Linked DNA regions of Arabidopsis thaliana. The protein of the gene in region 1 purifies or fractionates together with the protein of each later gene. This does not show direct contact. Each region holds a gene or a part of one and is shown on either strand. Other genes may lie near its edges. The genes, in order: IDH2 and PHT3;1.

The links.
Region 2: the proteins of IDH2 (region 1) and PHT3;1 purify together in Arabidopsis thaliana (affinity purification with mass spectrometry, with the first as the bait; one large-scale study listed by BioGRID). This does not show direct contact.

The regions. Positions count from the first base shown.
Region 1 is NC_003071.7:7,457,148-7,467,119, forward strand, and holds IDH2 (isocitrate dehydrogenase subunit 2), read right to left. Parts: upstream 5,461-9,972; 5' UTR 5,320-5,460; coding exon 4,810-5,319; intron 4,677-4,809; coding exon 4,437-4,676; intron 4,358-4,436; coding exon 4,279-4,357; intron 4,190-4,278; coding exon 3,915-4,189; 3' UTR 3,667-3,914; downstream 1-3,666. Other genes in the region: LYM2 (lysm domain GPI-anchored protein 2 precursor), read left to right, coding at 2,009-2,666, 2,914-3,034, 3,140-3,312, 3,401-3,501; AT2G17140 (Pentatricopeptide repeat (PPR) superfamily protein), read left to right, coding at 5,673-8,170, 8,467-8,593; AT2G17150 (Plant regulator RWP-RK family protein), read right to left, coding at 9,902-9,972. UniProt on the Arabidopsis thaliana protein: Performs an essential role in the oxidative function of the citric acid cycle.
Region 2 is NC_003076.8:4,528,998-4,539,844, reverse strand, and holds PHT3;1 (phosphate transporter 3;1), read left to right. Parts: upstream 1-6,725; 5' UTR 6,726-6,879; coding exon 6,880-7,200; intron 7,201-7,562; coding exon 7,563-7,924; intron 7,925-8,001; coding exon 8,002-8,045; intron 8,046-8,171; coding exon 8,172-8,386; intron 8,387-8,512; coding exon 8,513-8,637; intron 8,638-8,725; coding exon 8,726-8,786; 3' UTR 8,787-9,202; downstream 9,203-10,847. Other genes in the region: CARAB-AK-LYS (Aspartate kinase family protein), read right to left, coding at 852-938, 1,036-1,098, 1,181-1,297, 1,380-1,502, 1,583-1,675, 1,753-1,872, 1,954-2,070, 2,142-2,237 and 5 more; AT5G14050 (Transducin/WD40 repeat-like superfamily protein), read right to left, coding at 4,666-6,306. UniProt on the Arabidopsis thaliana protein: Transport of phosphate groups from the cytosol to the mitochondrial matrix. Mediates salt stress tolerance through an ATP-dependent pathway and via modulation of the gibberellin metabolism.

The DNA.
Region 1 (9,972 bases):
TAAAGAAGCTGAACCACTCTTATTCGATTAGAAAATTTCATGCTATTAGGATGCCACAAAGCATTTTGAAAGCAAATATTTGCCAAATATAACTATATTTTTCAAATAAGCTAGATTTCTAGTCTTTGAACAAAGGATGCACAAAACGACATTTGTTGTGAAATAGAGGGAGTAATAATTTTTTTTTTTAGCTCCTTTAGATTCAATGAATCATATGGTTCGTAGAGAAATTAAAGTTGAGGTTTTGAAGTGAAAATGATAAAACTTTAAATAGTTAGGTGATATAAACAAAAAAACTAAAGCATGGTTCAACTATAGTTTGATTTTTCAACCTCAAAGCTTAGACAGTGGTAGGAGAAAAGTGTATCATTTCACGAACTCTCACAAATATATCTCCTAACCGAATATTTAAACTGATTTCAGAATTACATACATATAAAGTAAAAGTAGCAAATAGATAAAAGAGTTTTAAATAGAGATATTCTTTTCCGTACAACATGATTCCAACCTTAAAATAATTATGTATTCTAGAATCTACTAGCCACATAATGGACATTCATATAAAAATAAGATTATTAATATTAATAATTTTTATATTTTTTTTGCTGCAACTTTTTTGGAGGGTGGATAAAGTCCATTCAAGTACAAATGGTACCCGTCCATTAAAGCAAATTTGTTCATTAAAAATCTTTTGGATTGGGTTACGTAAAATGCGACTATATTGCCCTAGTTCTTTTCATATTTGGTTAAGATTTAAAACTGTAAATCTCCATTCATCTTTGTTTGATTTTTTCAACTGTTTTAAATCATCCTATAATATATAAAGTTATGAAAAACTCAATCTTTTTCTCCCTATATTGTGATTCAAAATTAAAAAAACGGACATATATTACCCAATTAATGGAAATGATGTGTGTTCAATGTCCCACATCGACTAAAATATTCAGATAATGATTTAGAATAATATTATATATATGATTAAAATAAATTCAAATTCGAATGTATAGGAAAGCTTACCTTAACAAGCATCCAAATTTAAAATTTTGTATATGATTTAATTCAGTCTTTAGTTTTATTGTTTAGTTTTACCGAGAATATTAAAATTTTCTAATATCAATAAAAGGTTTTATAACATTATAAACATTTGAACAAATAAAAATAAAATAAATAACATGGGACAAATTGTATTGTGGTATACAGTTATATGGTGAGATGAATTTTTGAATCAACATTAATAAAATTTAGAATATCATCAATCTGCCGCTTTATTATTTTTAATACTACCAATATTAGAAATATCTAAACAACCTAATTAAGATAAGATTGTATATACCAAAAATTTCTCTGTGATATACAGTTACTTAATAACAATCGTATATTATAAAATATAAATTTCTTAGAAAATTTTACAATTTGCAAACTTATGTATATAATAAATAGTCATCAATTTTTAAACTACTATTTTTAGAAAACAAATCATGAGATGTGTTATATTACAGAACAAAGTTATATGATGGACGGGTTTGAATCAATATTTATAAATTTTTTGAAATCATTAATATGTTGTTTCAATACGGGTTAAATTCTCAGTTTATTAACAATTGTTATGTGGACTTGTGATATATTTTTACTTAATAACGATTATAAACTAAAATAGAAATATTTTATAACTAAATATAATTTATAAAATTTTATATATACAAATTTTAAAATATAAATTGTCTTGCAGTTTACAGCTAATTAAAATTTAGTTGTGATATTATATCCAATTATCCATATAACTACACTTTTTTCTCCACAATTAGGGCGTGACAAATGGCAACACTTCAATCAAGGAACAGAACACAATGTGAAACCAGACTGTTCTCATTTATTTTCCAGCAAGTCAAAAAGTCAAACTCAAAAAGTCCTCTCTCGGTCAACTTTCTTCTTGGTCCCCATCTTCACAAATCACAACTCTTTTTATTTCCAAAGACCAAAAACCTGAGAACACACCGGCGACCTGAAAATGGAAACTTCCTGTTTTACCCTTCTCGGTCTCCTTGTCTCCCTCTCCTTCTTCCTCACTCTCTCCGCCCAAATGACCGGAAACTTCAACTGCAGTGGCTCAACCTCGACGTGTCAATCTCTCGTTGGTTACTCAAGCAAGAACGCAACAACGTTGCGCAATATCCAAACCCTTTTTGCCGTCAAGAACCTCCGCTCGATCCTCGGAGCTAACAATCTCCCACTCAACACCTCACGTGACCAACGCGTGAACCCGAATCAAGTCGTACGTGTCCCAATCCATTGCTCTTGCTCCAATGGAACCGGTGTCTCGAACCGGGACATCGAATACACCATCAAGAAAGACGACATACTCTCTTTCGTCGCAACTGAGATTTTCGGTGGTCTCGTTACGTACGAGAAGATCAGTGAGGTTAACAAAATCCCTGACCCGAACAAAATCGAAATCGGTCAAAAGTTTTGGATCCCTTTGCCTTGTAGCTGTGATAAATTGAACGGTGAGGATGTTGTTCACTACGCACATGTAGTCAAACTAGGGAGCTCTCTCGGTGAGATCGCTGCTCAGTTTGGAACGGACAACACGACGTTGGCTCAGCTCAATGGAATCATTGGTGACTCTCAGCTTCTTGCTGATAAACCTCTCGACGTCCCTCTCAAAGGTTAAAAACCTGAAATTTTGGATCTTTTGAGTTGAAAGTTTGTGACTTTAGTAGTTTTATTGGATATATCTAAATGGGTTTGGATTGGATGATGGTTTAGATGAAATAAACGAAAAAATTTGATTGAAAAGTCTTTGACTTTTAGTAGTTTCATTGGACAAACCAAATCTAATTAGGTTTGAGTTTTTATTACTAATTGGTGATTGGCTTTGAAGAAAAGTTATGAACTTTGAACTTTATTTTGCAGCTTGTAGCTCTTCTGTGAGGAAGGACTCGTTGGATGCTCCTCTGCTTCTGTCTAACAACTCATACGTCTTCACTGCAAACAATTGCGTCAAGTGTACTTGTGACGCTTTGAAGAATTGGACGTTAAGTGATTGATAATCTCGTTGTGTTTGTCCCATAGGATAAGCTTGTTCTTTTTTCTTCTTTTTCTAGATTCTGATGGTTTTGGTTTTGTATCTTGTGATCAGTTTAAGCTGTCAATCATCATCTGAGATTAAGCCTTCGAACTGGCAAACCTGCCCACCATTTTCACAATGTGATGGAGCTTTGCTTAACGCCTCTTGCAGACAACCTCGTGATTGCGTCTATGCTGGTTACTCCAACCAAACCATCTTCACCACAGCTTCCCCAGCTTGTCCAGGTTTGTTTGATCCAAGTTTCTGCGCATTTGGTTATAGTGTAGTGTAATTAAGTGACTTAATAACCTGGTTACTCTCTGATATGAACAGATTCTGCTGGTCCTGATAACTATGCATCAACGCTCAGCTCAAGCTTCAATTTCGTGATTGTGTTGATTCAGTGTGCTCTGCTTTGTCTCTGCCTTCTCTAGTAATGTTTTGTTGTGTGTTTATGAGTGTGTATCTAAGTACAGTTCGGATTAAAATAAAGACATTGTTTCACCTGAAGCATCACGTCCTTGTACCATTTTTATATTGGAAACATTTCAGCTTTTGACACATTTTGTTACCAACTAAACAATACAAAACTTTGACATGAAGTTAAACATAATTTTCATTATTCAAAAAATAATGCTCTGAGGCAGTTTTCACTTTGCACTTTGCATATTACATGAACAAAAAGAAGAAAAACAAAACAAAAAACCATATGTTATTTTTCTCGAAATCTGAAATCCCAATTCGAGTTATCTCGAAAGAATGTGGGAACTAGAAGTATTTTCCAGTAAGCGTGAATCATACCGACGTGTGACTGATGCTTTACACAAGCGAAGTTGGAATTGTCAAGTCAATCCAAATTTGCAATGACAGCGTCAACGACCTCTTGAGTGGTACTGTTTCCACCAAGATCTTCAGTCCGACAATTCCCTTCAGCGATAACACGCTTCACAGCGGTTTCAAGCCTGTCAGCAAAAGAAGGGAACTGAAGGTGTCTAAGCATCATGGCTGATGACAGCAACAAAGCCACAGGGTTTGCATTCTTTTGCTCTTCCGTTGTATCCTTCCCCACGTTTCCCGCTGATGCACCTTGCTCAAAGACCGCATACTCCGCCCCAACATTTCCTACAGAAAATTTCATAGCATAAGCAAGAGAATCTACTTCTCTATAGTGCTTGTACATTAGATCAAGGTAAAATGAATTTTATTATTACCTCCAGGCATGACTCCAGTACCTCCAGCAATACCAGCAGCAGTGTTTGCCACTAGATTACCATAGAGATTAGGCGTCACCTGCAAAGCAGATACAAGTAAATAAACCAAAATAGAAGGAAGCTAGCCCAAGCATCAACAAGTGCTGAAAAACATTTACCATGACATCGAATTGCTCTGGTCTAGCCACAAGTTGCATACAACAATTATCAACAATGATTTCATTGTAAGCAATGCTTGGATACTTCTTAGCAACCTCTTGACAAGACTCCAAGAACAAACCATCAGCCAATTTCATGATATTAGCCTTGTGCACTGCTGTAACTTTCTTCCTGTTGTTCAAGTAGGCATACTCAAACGCATACTTTGCAATACGCTCTGAACAGAACTTTGTAATCACCTACCAAAACATTAGCATCAGAGACATCTTTGATATAACATGAACATCTCCAACTTTCACATCTACTACCAAATCACTATGAATCAAATCACATTTGTAACCAAAACAATCAACAAAAACTGAGAAATTGCACCTTAAGGCTCTCAACAACACCAGGAACAACTTCATGTTCAAGACCTGCATATTCACCTTCAGTGTTCTCTCTAATCACAACAATATCAACATTCTCATGACGAGAAGCTAAACCAGGCAAATTGAAACAGTTGACCAAAGAAGCAAAGAGATCAAGCTCCTTTCTCAGATTAACATTGAGAGAGCTCACACCACCACCGACGGGAGTCTTAAGACCACCTTTCAAACAAACTTTGTTCTTCTTAATCGATTCCAACAATCCTTCAGGTAAACTCTTCATATCTCCATGAACTTCGAACGGTTCGAAGTAAACCGGAGCGTGCATCGCTTCCATCACTTGTTGAACCGCGTTTGTTACCAACGGACCAACTCCGTCTCCGGGGATTAACGTCACTGGTCTTGGTTTTCCGTCACCGGGTCTGGGCATGTAAGTCACGGATCGGGTCTGGATTTTGGAACCGGAAGCGATGCTACGAAGATTCTTCAGTAGAGAAAACGATTGGCGAGACATCTTCTTCTGCAATTTTGATCGGAATCAGATTCTTCTGAAAATGATCGTCAGAGGAAGAAGATGAAGAAGAGTTGCGACTTTTTGGAACGAAGAAAGAACAAGAAAAGCGTTTACTTTTAGTCTATAACTTTTATTGTTTACATAATAGCCCCAAATGTTTAACCGTTATTAATGTTTAGCCCGTTTATAATTTGAATTGTACATTAAGACCAAATTGGGTAAAACCATGTTCTGTTATTAACATAATAGTCCTCGATTTCTTAACATTATACGTTTTAGTCCGTATGTAATTTAGTATTTTGCTTATAAGACCAATTTGGAAAAATTGAATTTTTGAGTTCTGTAGTAGTTCTATGGAACAATCTCTTGTGAAGGCTTTGTTGAAGAACACGAACAATCCGAGATTAGCATGGAGAATCTTCAAGAGGATATTCTCTTCTCCTTCAGAAGAAAGCCATGGCATTTCTTTAGATGCGACTCCTACAATCGCTCGTATCCTGGTTCGAGCCAAAATGCACGAAGAAATCCAAGAGCTTCACAATCTTATACTCTCTTCTTCAATCCAAAAGACGAAACTTTCGTCTCTTCTCTCTGTTGTATCCATCTTCGCGAAATCGAATCACATTGATAAGGCGTTTCCGCAGTTTCAGTTAGTACGGTCGCGGTTTCCTGAGAACAAACCTAGCGTTTATCTGTATAATTTGTTGCTTGAAAGTTGCATAAAGGAACGACGTGTGGAGTTCGTTTCGTGGTTGTATAAAGATATGGTTTTGTGTGGGATTGCTCCACAGACTTATACTTTTAATCTCTTGATACGTGCTTTGTGTGATTCAAGTTGTGTTGATGCTGCTCGAGAGTTGTTCGACGAAATGCCTGAGAAAGGTTGTAAGCCAAATGAGTTTACTTTTGGGATTTTGGTTCGTGGGTATTGTAAAGCTGGTTTGACTGATAAAGGGCTTGAATTGTTGAATGCAATGGAAAGTTTTGGGGTTTTGCCTAATAAAGTTATCTATAACACCATTGTTTCGAGCTTCTGTAGAGAAGGTAGGAATGATGATTCTGAAAAGATGGTGGAGAAGATGCGGGAGGAAGGTTTGGTGCCTGATATTGTCACTTTTAACTCTAGGATATCAGCGCTTTGTAAAGAAGGAAAGGTTTTGGATGCGTCTAGAATTTTCAGTGATATGGAGCTAGATGAGTATCTGGGTCTTCCTCGTCCCAATAGTATAACATATAACTTGATGTTGAAAGGTTTCTGTAAGGTAGGGTTGCTGGAAGATGCCAAGACCCTCTTTGAGTCGATTAGAGAAAATGATGATCTCGCTAGCTTGCAGAGTTACAATATTTGGCTGCAGGGTTTGGTCAGACATGGGAAGTTTATAGAGGCTGAAACAGTCCTGAAGCAAATGACTGATAAGGGAATAGGACCAAGTATTTATTCTTACAATATCTTGATGGATGGATTGTGTAAATTGGGCATGCTATCCGATGCAAAAACTATTGTTGGTTTGATGAAAAGAAATGGTGTTTGCCCGGATGCTGTAACTTATGGCTGCCTTCTTCATGGTTATTGCAGTGTTGGGAAAGTCGATGCAGCTAAAAGCTTGTTGCAGGAGATGATGAGGAATAATTGTTTACCAAATGCTTATACTTGCAATATTTTGCTACATAGCCTTTGGAAGATGGGGAGAATATCTGAAGCGGAAGAGTTGCTGCGAAAGATGAATGAGAAAGGTTATGGACTAGACACTGTCACCTGCAACATTATCGTTGACGGACTCTGTGGAAGCGGGGAATTAGATAAAGCTATTGAGATAGTTAAGGGAATGCGGGTGCATGGAAGTGCTGCTCTTGGTAACTTAGGCAATTCATATATCGGACTGGTGGATGATAGCTTGATCGAGAACAACTGTTTGCCTGACCTGATCACGTATTCAACTTTACTTAATGGTTTGTGCAAAGCTGGAAGGTTTGCTGAAGCAAAAAATTTGTTTGCCGAGATGATGGGAGAGAAACTGCAACCGGACTCGGTCGCATATAACATTTTCATTCATCATTTCTGCAAACAGGGGAAAATATCATCTGCATTTCGCGTTCTCAAAGACATGGAGAAGAAAGGTTGTCATAAGAGCCTAGAGACTTATAACTCACTGATCCTGGGCTTAGGCATAAAAAACCAGATTTTTGAAATTCATGGACTGATGGATGAGATGAAAGAAAAGGGCATTTCACCAAATATATGCACCTACAATACTGCAATCCAGTATCTTTGTGAGGGAGAAAAAGTTGAAGATGCAACTAACCTCCTTGATGAAATGATGCAAAAGAACATAGCCCCAAATGTATTTTCCTTCAAATATTTGATTGAAGCGTTCTGTAAGGTCCCTGATTTTGATATGGCCCAAGAAGTCTTTGAGACTGCTGTAAGTATCTGTGGACAGAAAGAAGGCCTGTACAGCTTGATGTTCAATGAGTTGCTTGCTGCAGGGCAACTACTAAAGGCTACGGAGTTGCTCGAAGCTGTTTTAGATAGAGGTTTTGAGTTGGGGACTTTTCTTTATAAAGATCTTGTTGAGAGCTTATGTAAGAAGGATGAACTAGAAGTAGCTAGTGGAATTTTGCATAAGATGATAGACAGAGGATATGGATTTGACCCTGCAGCATTGATGCCTGTGATAGATGGCTTAGGTAAGATGGGAAACAAGAAAGAGGCAAACAGTTTTGCTGATAAGATGATGGAAATGGCTTCAGTTGGTGAAGTAGCAAACAAAGTCGATCCAAATGCAAGGGATATACACCAGAAAAAGCATAATAAGAATGGTGGAAACAACTGGCAGAATATATTACACAGGTATGGATGACACTTTCTCCTTCTGGTTTGTCATCATTTATTGTTTCTCCTGTTATAGGCGCCGTTTCAATATGTATTTTAAGATGCTTTTATTGGAGGTTTTGTAGTTCTGCTTTCTCCTTTTAAAGTTTGGTTTTTTGAGGAAAGAAAAAGATTCCAAGATTTGGAGTAAGCATTCGTGTATATGATTAGGCAGTAGAGTCTTTGGTTTCAAGTGAGTTTACATTAAGAATATCGGTTTAACTGTCTTGTCGGAAACCTAATGAATGTTTTCTCTATCAATCGCTATTTTGCAGAGATGACGGTAGTGGAATTGCGTTAAGGTCTCTGTCAAGAGTTAAAAAAGGATGGGGTCAAGGGGATATATCAAGCTTTCAGCCTCCAAGAGTTGACTACTTAGACTACTGGGAGGACGATGGTTAAGGATTTGCATGACTCTGTTTTCTTTCTGATGGGAAAGTTCAGATGGCGCAAGCAAGTTTTTGAGGTGCAGCTCATCAAGGATGACAGGTAAAGGTAAGAACGAATACTGTTGTAGACACGTCTGAAATACAACAGCCTTCTGATGTAGACACGTCTAATCTTTTGGACAAAAAAACAAAATTCTCGTTAAATCAAAAATCAATTTAAAGTAACGTAGAGTAGGACTTCACATCACTTTCTTCATTTTCTTCCTACTTTGGACAGTAGTATTTAATTTTATAATCAAATAATGATCTTGTGGCATACTCTTTTGATCATTGTCTCCATGCTCATGTGTAAGATGTTAGCCTTATAGTAGCTTGTGATGTACAAGGTTGAGAGATCTCTAACGAAGCTAAATATAACTCTCTGGTAAAAGTATCACGGATAATGTTGAGGAATCCAATCTATTTTTAATAACCTTCATGTTCAGTGGAAAAATATTTTAGAATTGGACCCTCACCTTCTGTTTTCCTGTCTTTGTAGCTAAGCTGGTAGAACCAGACAAGACGACATGGCTGGACAAATATATCCTTGTTAGAACGACGTTTAAACATAAGAGCTGCCTGCTTTCATAAAGAATTTGAGCCCAACTTTGAATTTTGGGTGGGAGGAACACAATCTACATTATTGGAGAAAATGTAAGCTTTCTTGTGCTTTCTGTCGGCACATTTTCTGGTTCTGGAACAGTAGGAGTTTGTAGTGGGGATACAAAGAGACTAAGTTTTATAAAACGTGGAAGACCACCAAGTGTTAGCTGCTTAATTGGAACTAGGTTTCTTCTTAAACATAGCCATACAGATTATTTTTTCCTGTTTTTACAATATCAGTTTTAAATGTTTAATCTCATAATCAATATCATGAAATGGATATTCTTGAATCCCGGCACATTATTTTCCATGTACATCAATGCAATCATGGACTAGATAGTATCCTGTAACCAGACATGTCCCAAAAATAAATAAGCGAAACACACAGAATTTTTCAATCGCCATAGTTCCAGTCTTGCAGAGTTTAAGAAACCAGACAATAAGATTGTACATGCATAAAATACAAGTCTATGGAATTCATCTCTTTTATACAAAAATCTGCTAGGGCAATACAGGAGACCAGTTACTACTGCCACTTCCAAAATGTTGTTCAGGGAACTGGAAATATGTTTATACAGGATTCCCATGCTGAAAAGGTAAGTGAGATTTCTACAAAAGCTAAAAAAATCAGTAGAATCTTCCTGGTGCTTTGCAGTTACAAAACTTCGTTTAATGTTTTTCAGGAAAGACCAGTGTTGCCAAAAGAACCACTTAGCTTGACTTGAGAAGCTTCGTTCAGACTTATTTTAA
Region 2 (10,847 bases), on another chromosome or scaffold:
TACATAACATTATAAACATAGTATATTGAAATATATATTTAAAAATACATAAAATTGTAACTATTTTGAGTATTTTCATACATAATAATATAAAAATATCATAACTAAATAAACTATTTCAAGAGATATAATATATTAATGTATCCATTCATTTTTATATTTTATATCTATTAATCATTTGTAATTTTATATTTGTTAATTGAATTTTTATTGATATAATAAGTGAATAGTGTTTAGAGTTGTGAATAGTATCACACCAAATTTGATGTAACACTGTAGCATTACACTAAAATGGTGTGAATTTTAGAGTTCCATTGGAGAGCTTTTAGTGCAAAAATTACACTAAAATGGTGTTTTAGAGTCCCATTGGAGTTGGCCTAAGCCTGCTCCTTCAATGCTCACTTTCTCTTCTATACTGAATTTGTTTTTCTTTTTCTTTTTTCTTCTTTTGTTGACAAGAAGAAATTATGAAAATATACTGATGTCAAAATGAAGAAACTAATTTATATCTTAATTCTTGTGAACAAAATAGTATAATTACCATTGACTAATAATTGTAAACCTTATGTCATAAAACCAAATCTTAAATCCTAAAAACTAAGCTTTAAATCTGAATCCCTACTCAACACACTGGTTATTTCTTTATTTCTTTTTGAGCTTGTCTATGTACTCTTTAAATTAAAAGATTATAGGCTTTGGCTCAAATTATGATGTATTGTATCACAACAACAACAACAACAACAACAACAATGGACAAGAATTTGAAATAGTTCCAAGTCTTGACACATTCTTAGCATTAAACTACGCACAGAAGCAGAGTTGAAGGAGAGAGATGGGTGCTCTGTGTTGCACTAAGGATCGGTCTCAAAGAAGGCGGAGTGGAGAGCCCTCACACATTGCTCTGCCTCTTCATCATTCACTATCAATGAGATGTTTACCTGAAACACACACACACACACACACATATCCCCATTCACTATAACCATAAGTAAACCATATTCATTCACTATCATGTAGCAGCGGATTCCATCTAACCTTAGATGCACCCTGCGAGATCATCTGCACATTCACTCCATTGCTTCTAAATACTTGGAACACCTGTTTTGTCATTCATTCCATTCCCACTAAATTAAAACTTCAAAATTCAAAAGAGAACACAAGACATGTTACTCTCACTCACCTTCTCTAATATGAGTGAGGATTTCTGAACATTTCCTATGAGAGAGATGATTGATCTGCGTTGAAGTAGTTTCACAACAGCAATCTTCTCTAGCTCTTCCACCAAATTATCCAGTTCCTGTTCACACCCAGTCCCTTTAACCAATACCACATATGACCCTCACAAAAGAAACAATCTATCAAAGTCAAAGGAGTATTACATTTACTCGCTGAATTAACTCTCTACCCCAGAGCTTTGCTGGATCCAATGTCAATGATATACTAACTTCACTTGTTGCCACAACATCAACCGATATACCTAAATCTTCAAATGTGGTAAACACCTGCACACGAGACAGTGAGTATGCTTCCAGTGAGATATTAAACAAAGTCGAATAAAGATATCATTATCCAATTATATTACCTTGGCAAGGAAACCATATTGGCCAAGCATACGGGTGCTTGCTATGTCCAACATGGTCACATTACGTTTCAGAACAATGCTGGTTAGCACAGCCTACAAGGAATTAAAGGAGGAAAAGGTCATTGATATTTTGATATAAGGAGTTAAAAAAACACATCTGTTTCACGAACCTTACTCATGTCTCTTGATCTGGTGATGACAGTTCCTGGAGCAGTGGGGTTGTACGAGTTCTTAACCCTCACAGGAATGTCGCCATCTCTTGCTGGCCTCATAGACAGTGGATGCAACACCTGCAATGGAAGAGGAATATGCTCAGCCATCTGACAGAAAAGAACTCATCAGCATAGTGCATAGCTAATCTACGAGATTACCTGGGCACCAAAGTAAGCAAGCTCAGCTGCCTCATCGAACGTTAAGTACGGAACAGATTGAGCTCCAGGATATATGTTAGGATCACAAGTCAAAACTCCATCCACATCTTTCCAAACCTATATTAAAAAATCATTGTTTAACAAAATTTCATCTACATGATGCAATCTTGGCCAAAGCCATCAAATACCTGAATTTCCCGCAGTCCTAGCGCTTTCCCAATCGTTGTAGCTGTCAAATCACTGCCACCCCTACCCAGCGTAGTGATAGCACAAGACCTCCATCCCTGCAGAAACACATGCATACGAGAATGAAGTTTTGTTTTCAAAATTGATACAATAAGCAAAACAACTCTTGTGCAGAACCCATTCCAATTTATAGAATAGATGAGAACCCGAGTTGAGCACCACATATTTCTTGATCCACGAGAACAACATAAAAAGTCAGAAAAATATAAACCTTTCCGAGGTAGCCAGTAACAACAGGGACTGCATTTTCCTTGCTCCAGTCGCCAACAAGTGTTTTTGAGACGGCAGGGTATGTTGCTTCAAGTATATCAGCATTAGTAAAGTCGTCTGTGGTGATAAATCCGATCTCAAATGCATCATACTGCCAACAACAAGCAAACAACTCATCAAGTAATGAACTAAACTCATGTTAGAGTACATACTTGTGAGCATTGACACACTCTCAAGTTTCTGTAATCTGTATGATGAATGCAGCAATTATATGCAGGGCCAAGGTTATGCTAGGACCAGAGTGTTATAAAGCAACATACTTGACGCGCTTTGTGGCCAATTTTATTGAGATACGCAGAGAAAAGCCTTGTGGACATGCACTCTCCAAATGAAACCAAGTAGTCCCTTGTGCGTAAGGTTAGCTCTTTCATCATTGATATGCCTTTGAGAAGCTGGTGTAGTCCTTCTAGGTGTTCTACAAATAAATTAACCAGAAAAACGGATTCAGATAAGAAAAACTCAACTGAATGAGCAAAGCAAAATTCTGAAACTACAATAGGAGAACGAGAACCAAGGTACTTACTTTCAATAACCGTTGTTTCCACTCCAAGCTCATGAGCAGTTCTGAACATAGAGAATTTTATTTCCCATGAGAATAAGGCTAAATTTGGACTGTGAACACTAGATAACAATCAAATACACATGAGATAACATTGTTTTCTTTAACCTTAAATGGAGTTCCTTTATAAAGCTCAATTCTTCAATACTTTCTACGTTAGTGACACCGCAAGTAACAGCCTTCTCTCCAGCCTAACAAAAGCGGAAAACCAAGAAAATAATCACTCTACCGATAACAAAAACGTCATAAGGAAGACGTAGAAAAGATTAGTATAGTTGTATTACCTTCAAAAGCTTATTAGTCGTCTTTCCCATTGCTGATAGCACAATGACGGGCCTCTCATCTGGAAAGCTGAGTATAAGATTGGCAACTTCTTTCATCCTCTCTGCTGATTCCACTGATGAACCGCCAAATTTCATTACACATGTCAACTCTTTGCCAGTTCCGCTTGAATCGCACGTCTCAGGCTCTTTTCTTTGAAGCAAATCGACTCTTAGAGCTTCACAACTAACTCTCAAACCTATATTCCTACAAGAATGCTCTACGTCTCTAAAGACAGCACTACTTGAGGGCAACGTAACTGAAAAACATGCCCCCTTTGAAGCAAACTCAAGCCTCTTTGAACTTAAAGCAAGCCCTGGAGTTTTAACTCCGTACAACTGCAATGAAGCCATAAGCTTGCTAAATCTAAGAGACTTGCGTGTTGTGATCTCGACAAATGGTACAGCTGTGCAATGTGGAAACCTGCAACTTTCAAATTCACAGAAAGAATATCAGATCATTATCAAGGGATCTAAATCTATAAATATAATGAATGAGGTAAAATCATGTTAAGAAATGAATTATGAAAAATTTATTGAACCAATTAATACACTGTAAGTTGACTGACTAATTTTCAGTGAAATCAAACAACCAATACTAATAAACAACATCATAAGAGAAGCACTTGTGAAGCATATAAACCAGAAAATGTGTAAACTTGTGCTTCTTCATCACCCCAAATGCAAGAAATGATGAATCATTCGAGAAATTAGAAAAGAAAACAGCAAAACCCAGAGAAACCAAAGTAAATCGAGAAATGTAGACAATTACCTTAACTGGATTTCCGTGAAGAAAAACAGATAAAAATTGGAACTTTCCTTCGGACACAGCTGAAACGACCTGTCGGATTCGCCGGCCAGGCTCCGAAGGAAATAGTACTAATGTTTTTTTTTGGGTTTAAGGAGTGAAAAAGCGGCTTAAGACTCTATTAGAGAAGGAAGAGAACGTGAGACACAAACACTGTTTTGTTTGCCCTTCCCAGAATGGACGGTTCAGATTCAATCTCTGGGTCGAGATACCCTTTCAGCTATTAGTAAGCCACTCTACTAAAATTTGTACTTTGTGTTAATCCATGAAATAATGTTGACATCTTTCTTTTTCTCCTGCATTTTTATTTTTAGATGATAGTACCAAATAAGTGGTTGATGCTGTCAAAATCGTGAGAAAACAAAACTTGGCCCACTCAATCCCAAGAATCAGAAAGAAAATTTTTCATTGATCGATAATTGGATAGGAAAATTGATAACATAAAGAGTACTTGCGACAAAAAAAGAGGAAACACAACAATCCCAAAACTGCCCTTGTTAAAGACCACTTCAAGCATTCTGGTAATGATGGAGTTTATACAGCAAAACTTTTCCGGCAGCGTTCCCCATAGCCATGAAGCCACTTCCGGGGCTGAAGTCTAGGCAGCGAGGGTAATGCATTGTGCTGTTTGGTGGCGGCCAGTTTGAGAAGACGGTTAGGGATGGAACATGGACTAGCTTTACACTGTTTTTGTTCATTGTAGAGACTATAGCTAGAATCTGAGCATCATGGTTGAACTTCATGAAATCTATCTTGGATGTGAGATTGTCCACTGTCTTTATCGGCTTTCTTTTGCCTCCCACAAACTCAGATTTCTTGTAAATGTTTACGATTCCTCTGTCGGTTCCAGAAGCAAACAATGCTCCGTTAAGCGAACTGCAAAGAGAAGTGCCACAAGTGCTGCCTTCATCCACGCCTTTGTATAAGCATTTCATTGTTCTCAGATCCCAGACATAGACTTGCCCGTCACCTCCTGAGCTCAGCAAATGCTTCCCATCTTCACTAAATGCTAAAGACCTAACTGAACCATTCATCTTTAGGGTTCCTATCAGCTCTTTTGTTTTTGTAGACACAAGTAAGATATAACCTTCGTTGCCAACAAAAGCTATGGTGTTAGAGTCTTGTGACACCTCGAAATATTCCAAGCTTTTCTCCTCTCTACCAACCAAAGGGCCAATTTTGTCAAACTTTGCCTTCTCCAAATCAAAGCTGTAAAAGAACTTTCTTCTTCCGGAGACAATGACCTGAGAGCCATTGGGCAAGAAAGCCGCTTTACGAATGGGACAGTCCTCAAGAAAAATGCTCTGGATCTTGGTGTTCCTCTTTCCATCAATCTGGAAAAACCTTAACCGTCGATCCAATCCAGCAGTGAGAAGCAGCTGAGCGTTCTGATGGAAGTGGACAGAGTTTATTGGACCATTTGAAGGATCCGCTGCATTGGCATCCACAAGCTTAGAGTATTCAAGACGACCAGCACACAGCTTGTTACCACGAGACTTCACCACAAGATCTTCATTCGTTCGAAGGATATCATCAACTCCTCCATCCTGAGTATCATCATCATCTGAAGACTCTCCATCAACTATTTGAGAATCTGGCCGAGCCCAATCAGTCCCCGGGTTTAGCTTAGCATGATGAGCCCTCAGCCTTGCAATGTACTCAGACCCAGAGATCAAACCCTCATTCTCCTCTTTCCTTAGCTTCCTTAGACGGTTGACACTAGCTATATCAACGTTTATCTGTTTCTCTTCTTCATCCTCCCAGGCAGCTTCTCCCTTTCTAATTGCCACAACTTGACCATTCTCTTCATCAGAAAGCTCTTCATCATCATCACCATCATCCTCGTAGTCAGGAATCTGCCTCACAGCAGAACGGTCTACATGAAACAAAGCCGAACCATCTTCTTCTTCTTCCTTACCAAACGTAACAGGAGAGTAGAGTGACCCGAATATCAAATTCTCAAGCTTTTTCATTTCAACCAGTTCCGATTCTTCTAGCTTCTGCTTCTCCTTCTCTGTCTTTCTTCTCTTTCCCCTAGTGAGATCATCATCGGACCCAATCTCTTCCTCATCTTCAACATCTTCGTACTGTTTCTTGAGCTCCTCTCTTTTAATACCCTTACTTTTCGGAGCATTCTGAGATAAGCTCATCTTTCAATACCACTAATTCAGAGCTGCATGAAACAAACAACGATAAGATTCGCAAGCTCGTTATCAATCCGTAATTAAGCTCTCATTTCGGGAAGAATTACTACAAAAGCTACTAATTTGACCTAATTCATGCACAAATTTGATTACAATGAAGAAATAACTTACAACGTTGACGAGCAGAGAAACCTTGTAGCCGGTAATTGTCGGCGAGAGAGCTTCTACCCTTCTGGTTGGATTTTTTAGGGTTTTAGAATTTCATTTTCCAACAAAAGATAAACAAATAAAAATTGGAACTTGTCGTTAATACAGCCCTTTAATGGGTCAACGGGTCTTATGTCTCTTGAAAAAGCCCATGGGCCAAGACAGGTAAAATAACAATGTCACTTTCGTAATTATCGCAAAGTATATGCCTTGTTCCATCAGATTCCATTTGCCCAATAAAGCCCGAGTTTCGAGAGTTAATACCTCATTGGTGCTTTTGGTTTTGGCAAAGCGTGAGTGAGATCGGGAATCAAACATCGCCTCCGTCTCTCATTTCAAACGCTATCTCCATCTCCTTCCTCCGCCGCCGCCATGGAATCTCCGAAGAATTCTCTGATCCCGAGCTTCCTCTATTCATCATCTTCATCTCCGAGATCTTTCCTCCTCGACCAGGTGCTCAATTCCAACTCCAACGCTGCATTCGAGAAATCTCCTTCTCCGGCCCCGCGTTCCTCTCCTACGTCGATGATTTCTCGGAAGAATTTCCTTATTGCATCTCCCACCGAGCCAGGGAAGGGGATCGAGATGTATTCACCTGCCTTCTACGCTGCTTGTACCTTTGGTGGAATTCTCAGCTGTGGTCTTACTCACATGACCGTGACTCCTCTCGATCTCGTCAAGTGCAATATGCAGGTATGTAACCTTTAGATCCGTTGTCTTTCGTTTGTTTTCTGAGCTCATGTTTGTGGATCTGTGTTCCTGTGTTGTTTAGGTAGTGAGATCTGTGTTGCTAGATCTGTGATTTGATTTTCTTTATCGCTTTGTTGTTTTCCTGACTATTGGTTTTGTGTTTGATTTCAATATCTGAAGAATTGTTTGATCTCTGATAAACGCATCTTCGTCTATCCATTTCCATGTTATATATGAATCATTCTATTTCAATATACGTTAATATGGTCTGATTTCTGGTTCTTCTTTCGAAATATTGTTACTTGACGTGTTATGTGTTGAATGGTTCACTTGGTCTTGCAAAACTGATATATCTTGTTATCCAGATTGATCCAGCGAAGTACAAGAGCATCTCGTCTGGTTTTGGAATTTTGCTGAAAGAGCAAGGAGTCAAAGGCTTTTTCCGTGGATGGGTTCCTACTCTTTTGGGTTACAGTGCTCAGGGTGCCTGCAAGTTTGGATTCTACGAGTACTTTAAGAAGACTTACTCTGACCTTGCTGGACCTGAGTACACTGCCAAATACAAGACTCTCATCTACCTTGCTGGTTCTGCTTCTGCTGAGATCATTGCCGATATTGCACTTTGCCCATTTGAAGCTGTGAAGGTTCGTGTTCAGACACAGCCTGGATTTGCTAGGGGGATGTCTGATGGATTTCCCAAGTTTATCAAGTCCGAAGGATACGGAGGGTGAGTTTTTCAATACCAATAACATTATCTCCCTTGTTACTGCTAGCCTTTTGGTCTGATTTCTGATTTTTTTGCAGCTTGTATAAGGGTCTTGCTCCACTCTGGGGACGTCAGATTCCTTGTAAGTTCTGGCCTCTATTTTGCAACCTGTTGCACAATCTTTTTTTTTTTTTTTTTTTGTTTATTGATGAAACATATGTAGTTCTTTAAAAGCAAAAGGTGGTGATGATATCTATGAATTTTACAGACACTATGATGAAGTTTGCTTCCTTTGAGACCATTGTTGAGATGATTTACAAGTACGCAATCCCCAACCCAAAGAGTGAGTGCAGCAAAGGTCTGCAACTCGGAGTGAGTTTTGCCGGAGGTTACGTTGCCGGAGTGTTCTGTGCCATCGTTTCTCATCCAGCAGACAATCTAGTGTCATTCCTCAACAACGCTAAGGGAGCAACCGTTGGAGATGTAAGTCACTATGTTTGAATACAATAGCCTAATGCTAGAATGGCTGTGGTTTGGTAGTTGTATACAAGCTATTGATTTCTGTTACGGTAGAAATAATATTTAATGTTTGTAAATGACATGTTGCAGGCGGTGAAGAAGATTGGTATGGTGGGACTGTTCACAAGAGGGCTTCCTCTTAGAATTGTGATGATCGGGACGTTGACTGGAGCACAGTGGGGATTATACGATGCCTTCAAAGTGTTTGTTGGCCTGTAAGTTCCTCTCTCTCTTCACTTACTTTCGTACCTTAATTGTACCTTCAAAATGCAAAACTCTCAATTCTTTTGATTTGGTATTCAGGCCAACCACTGGTGGTGTTGCTCCAGCTCCTGCCATCGCAGCTACTGAAGCCAAAGCCTAAACAATGACGAAAAAGGTTATTAGGAGTTCGATGGGGTAGGATTTTTGTTTGGAAAAATAAGAGAAACCATACGGTGATGAGGAAGAGTGAGTAAGCTCAATTTCTTCCTGATTTGAACTTTATCATTTTTGTTTTTTTTGAAATTTGTGTTCCTGAATTCAGGATAGTGCTCTCTCTCTCTTTACATACTCTCTTCCTATTGTTTCTTGTCCTTTTTTTCTTTGTGTGATGTAATCTTAAAAGATGAGAGGGACACACTCCAAGATAGAGAGAGTGGGCATACACCCACTCACTACTTTTTATTCAGTTTCAGTTGAAATTCTCTTTTGGTTGCTCTATCTATTATTTTACTTTTTTGTTTTAGAGATTATATAAAATCTCGTTTTAAAACATCAAATCATAGATAGATCTTGAATACTAATCATATGTATACGTTTAACCGCTAAGCGCTAACATAAGGAAAATATTATGTAGGCAAATGATTAATAAACATATGATAAAAAAAACAACGTCGCCCACCGTGGGGCTCGAACCCACGACCACAAGGTTAAGAGCCTTGCGCTCTACCAACTGAGCTAGACGGGCTTTGTTGCCCAACTAAGTTACTTAACAGTTTGATCCCAATTAACAGATGTACCCTTGCAATTGGATTCCATTCGTCTAAAGGCTCTAACAACCAACCATCTGTTGTCAAACCAGTAATTTTGAGCGACGACGATTGAGGGACTAAGGACTTGATTGGTTCTCCCTCTACCACCCGCAAACGCTGCGTTTGCGGTTGGTAGCGGTTGTTAGCGATTGACACCAATCATAAAAACCGCTAGATATCGCTTTAAACCGCTCGAAATCGCCAGTTTTCAAAAGCTCCTTTCCGCAAGCGTTTGCGGTTGCGGGCGGTAGCGGTTAGGTTAAAAAGAATAATCTTTTTTTAATTAATTAAAATAATTGTGGCTTCCACCCAAACCCTAATCACTATAATTAAAATAATCTAATCTTTTATATATCTTATTTTTATTAGAAAACCCTAATCAATATATTGTAACTCTATTCTCTCAATTATGGCATCCGATGAAAATCAAAATCAAGAATCAAACATAAGTATCATCTATCCTTTTATTCATTCATTAGCTAGTGTAATTCTTTTACTATTTCATGGCATCGTTGTTTTTATTTTATTTTGTATTGTTTTGAGTTTTTTGATTGAATACATTTTTCGATTTGTTTTCTCGATTAGAAAATCATTTGGCCGGACGAGATGATATATTGTATTTTTGTTTGGTCAAAAAATCAATTTTTCTAATATTATCAGTTTATCATAATATATTGTATTTTTATTTCTTTTAATAGTAATATATTATATTTATTTTGGTTATTTTTATTTAATTACTATCGTACCCGCTGGTTTACCAGTCATAAAATTTTCGCAAACGCATCCATTATCAAACGCTCAACCAGTCGTTCAAAACGCTTGATAACGCAACCGCAACCGCACCCACTGCGTTTAAACCAGTCATGCCCTAAATTAACATAGTGTGAAAGTTGTGCGTGCTTTATTGATTATCTCTTTTAACTCTAGTCTGATTGTTGTATAATCCCGTCTTGAACTCTTGATAAACATGGCAAAAGCTGCACTATTCCAACCCGGAAAAATAAACTTATCACAACTTATTTGACTACTTGGTCTAAAAACAAAGTCAAATTTGTTTAACTTGAAAAAGTTAAGACCCAAACCATCGTTTCTCTTTTTTTTTTTTCATGTAGTATTTTCAATAATTCTTTTTGTCTGTGCAAAATTGTTTCTAAGTATTCATAAAGCGAAAGAGCTATAGGACCGGCTTTCAAATGCCTAGTAGGTTAATACATATGATACCTACAAATTTTGTTAAAAGCATCTTATAAGTAATAGTAGTATCCAGGTTTTCGAAGCATCTTATAAACAAAATTATTCCTCATTTTTTTAATTTATACAGGTTTCTGAAGCAAAAAACAAAACACCTTAAAAGCTATCTAAGAAATGTTCCATATAAAGGCGTTAAAGAAGTTTATAAGCTACTTAGTACA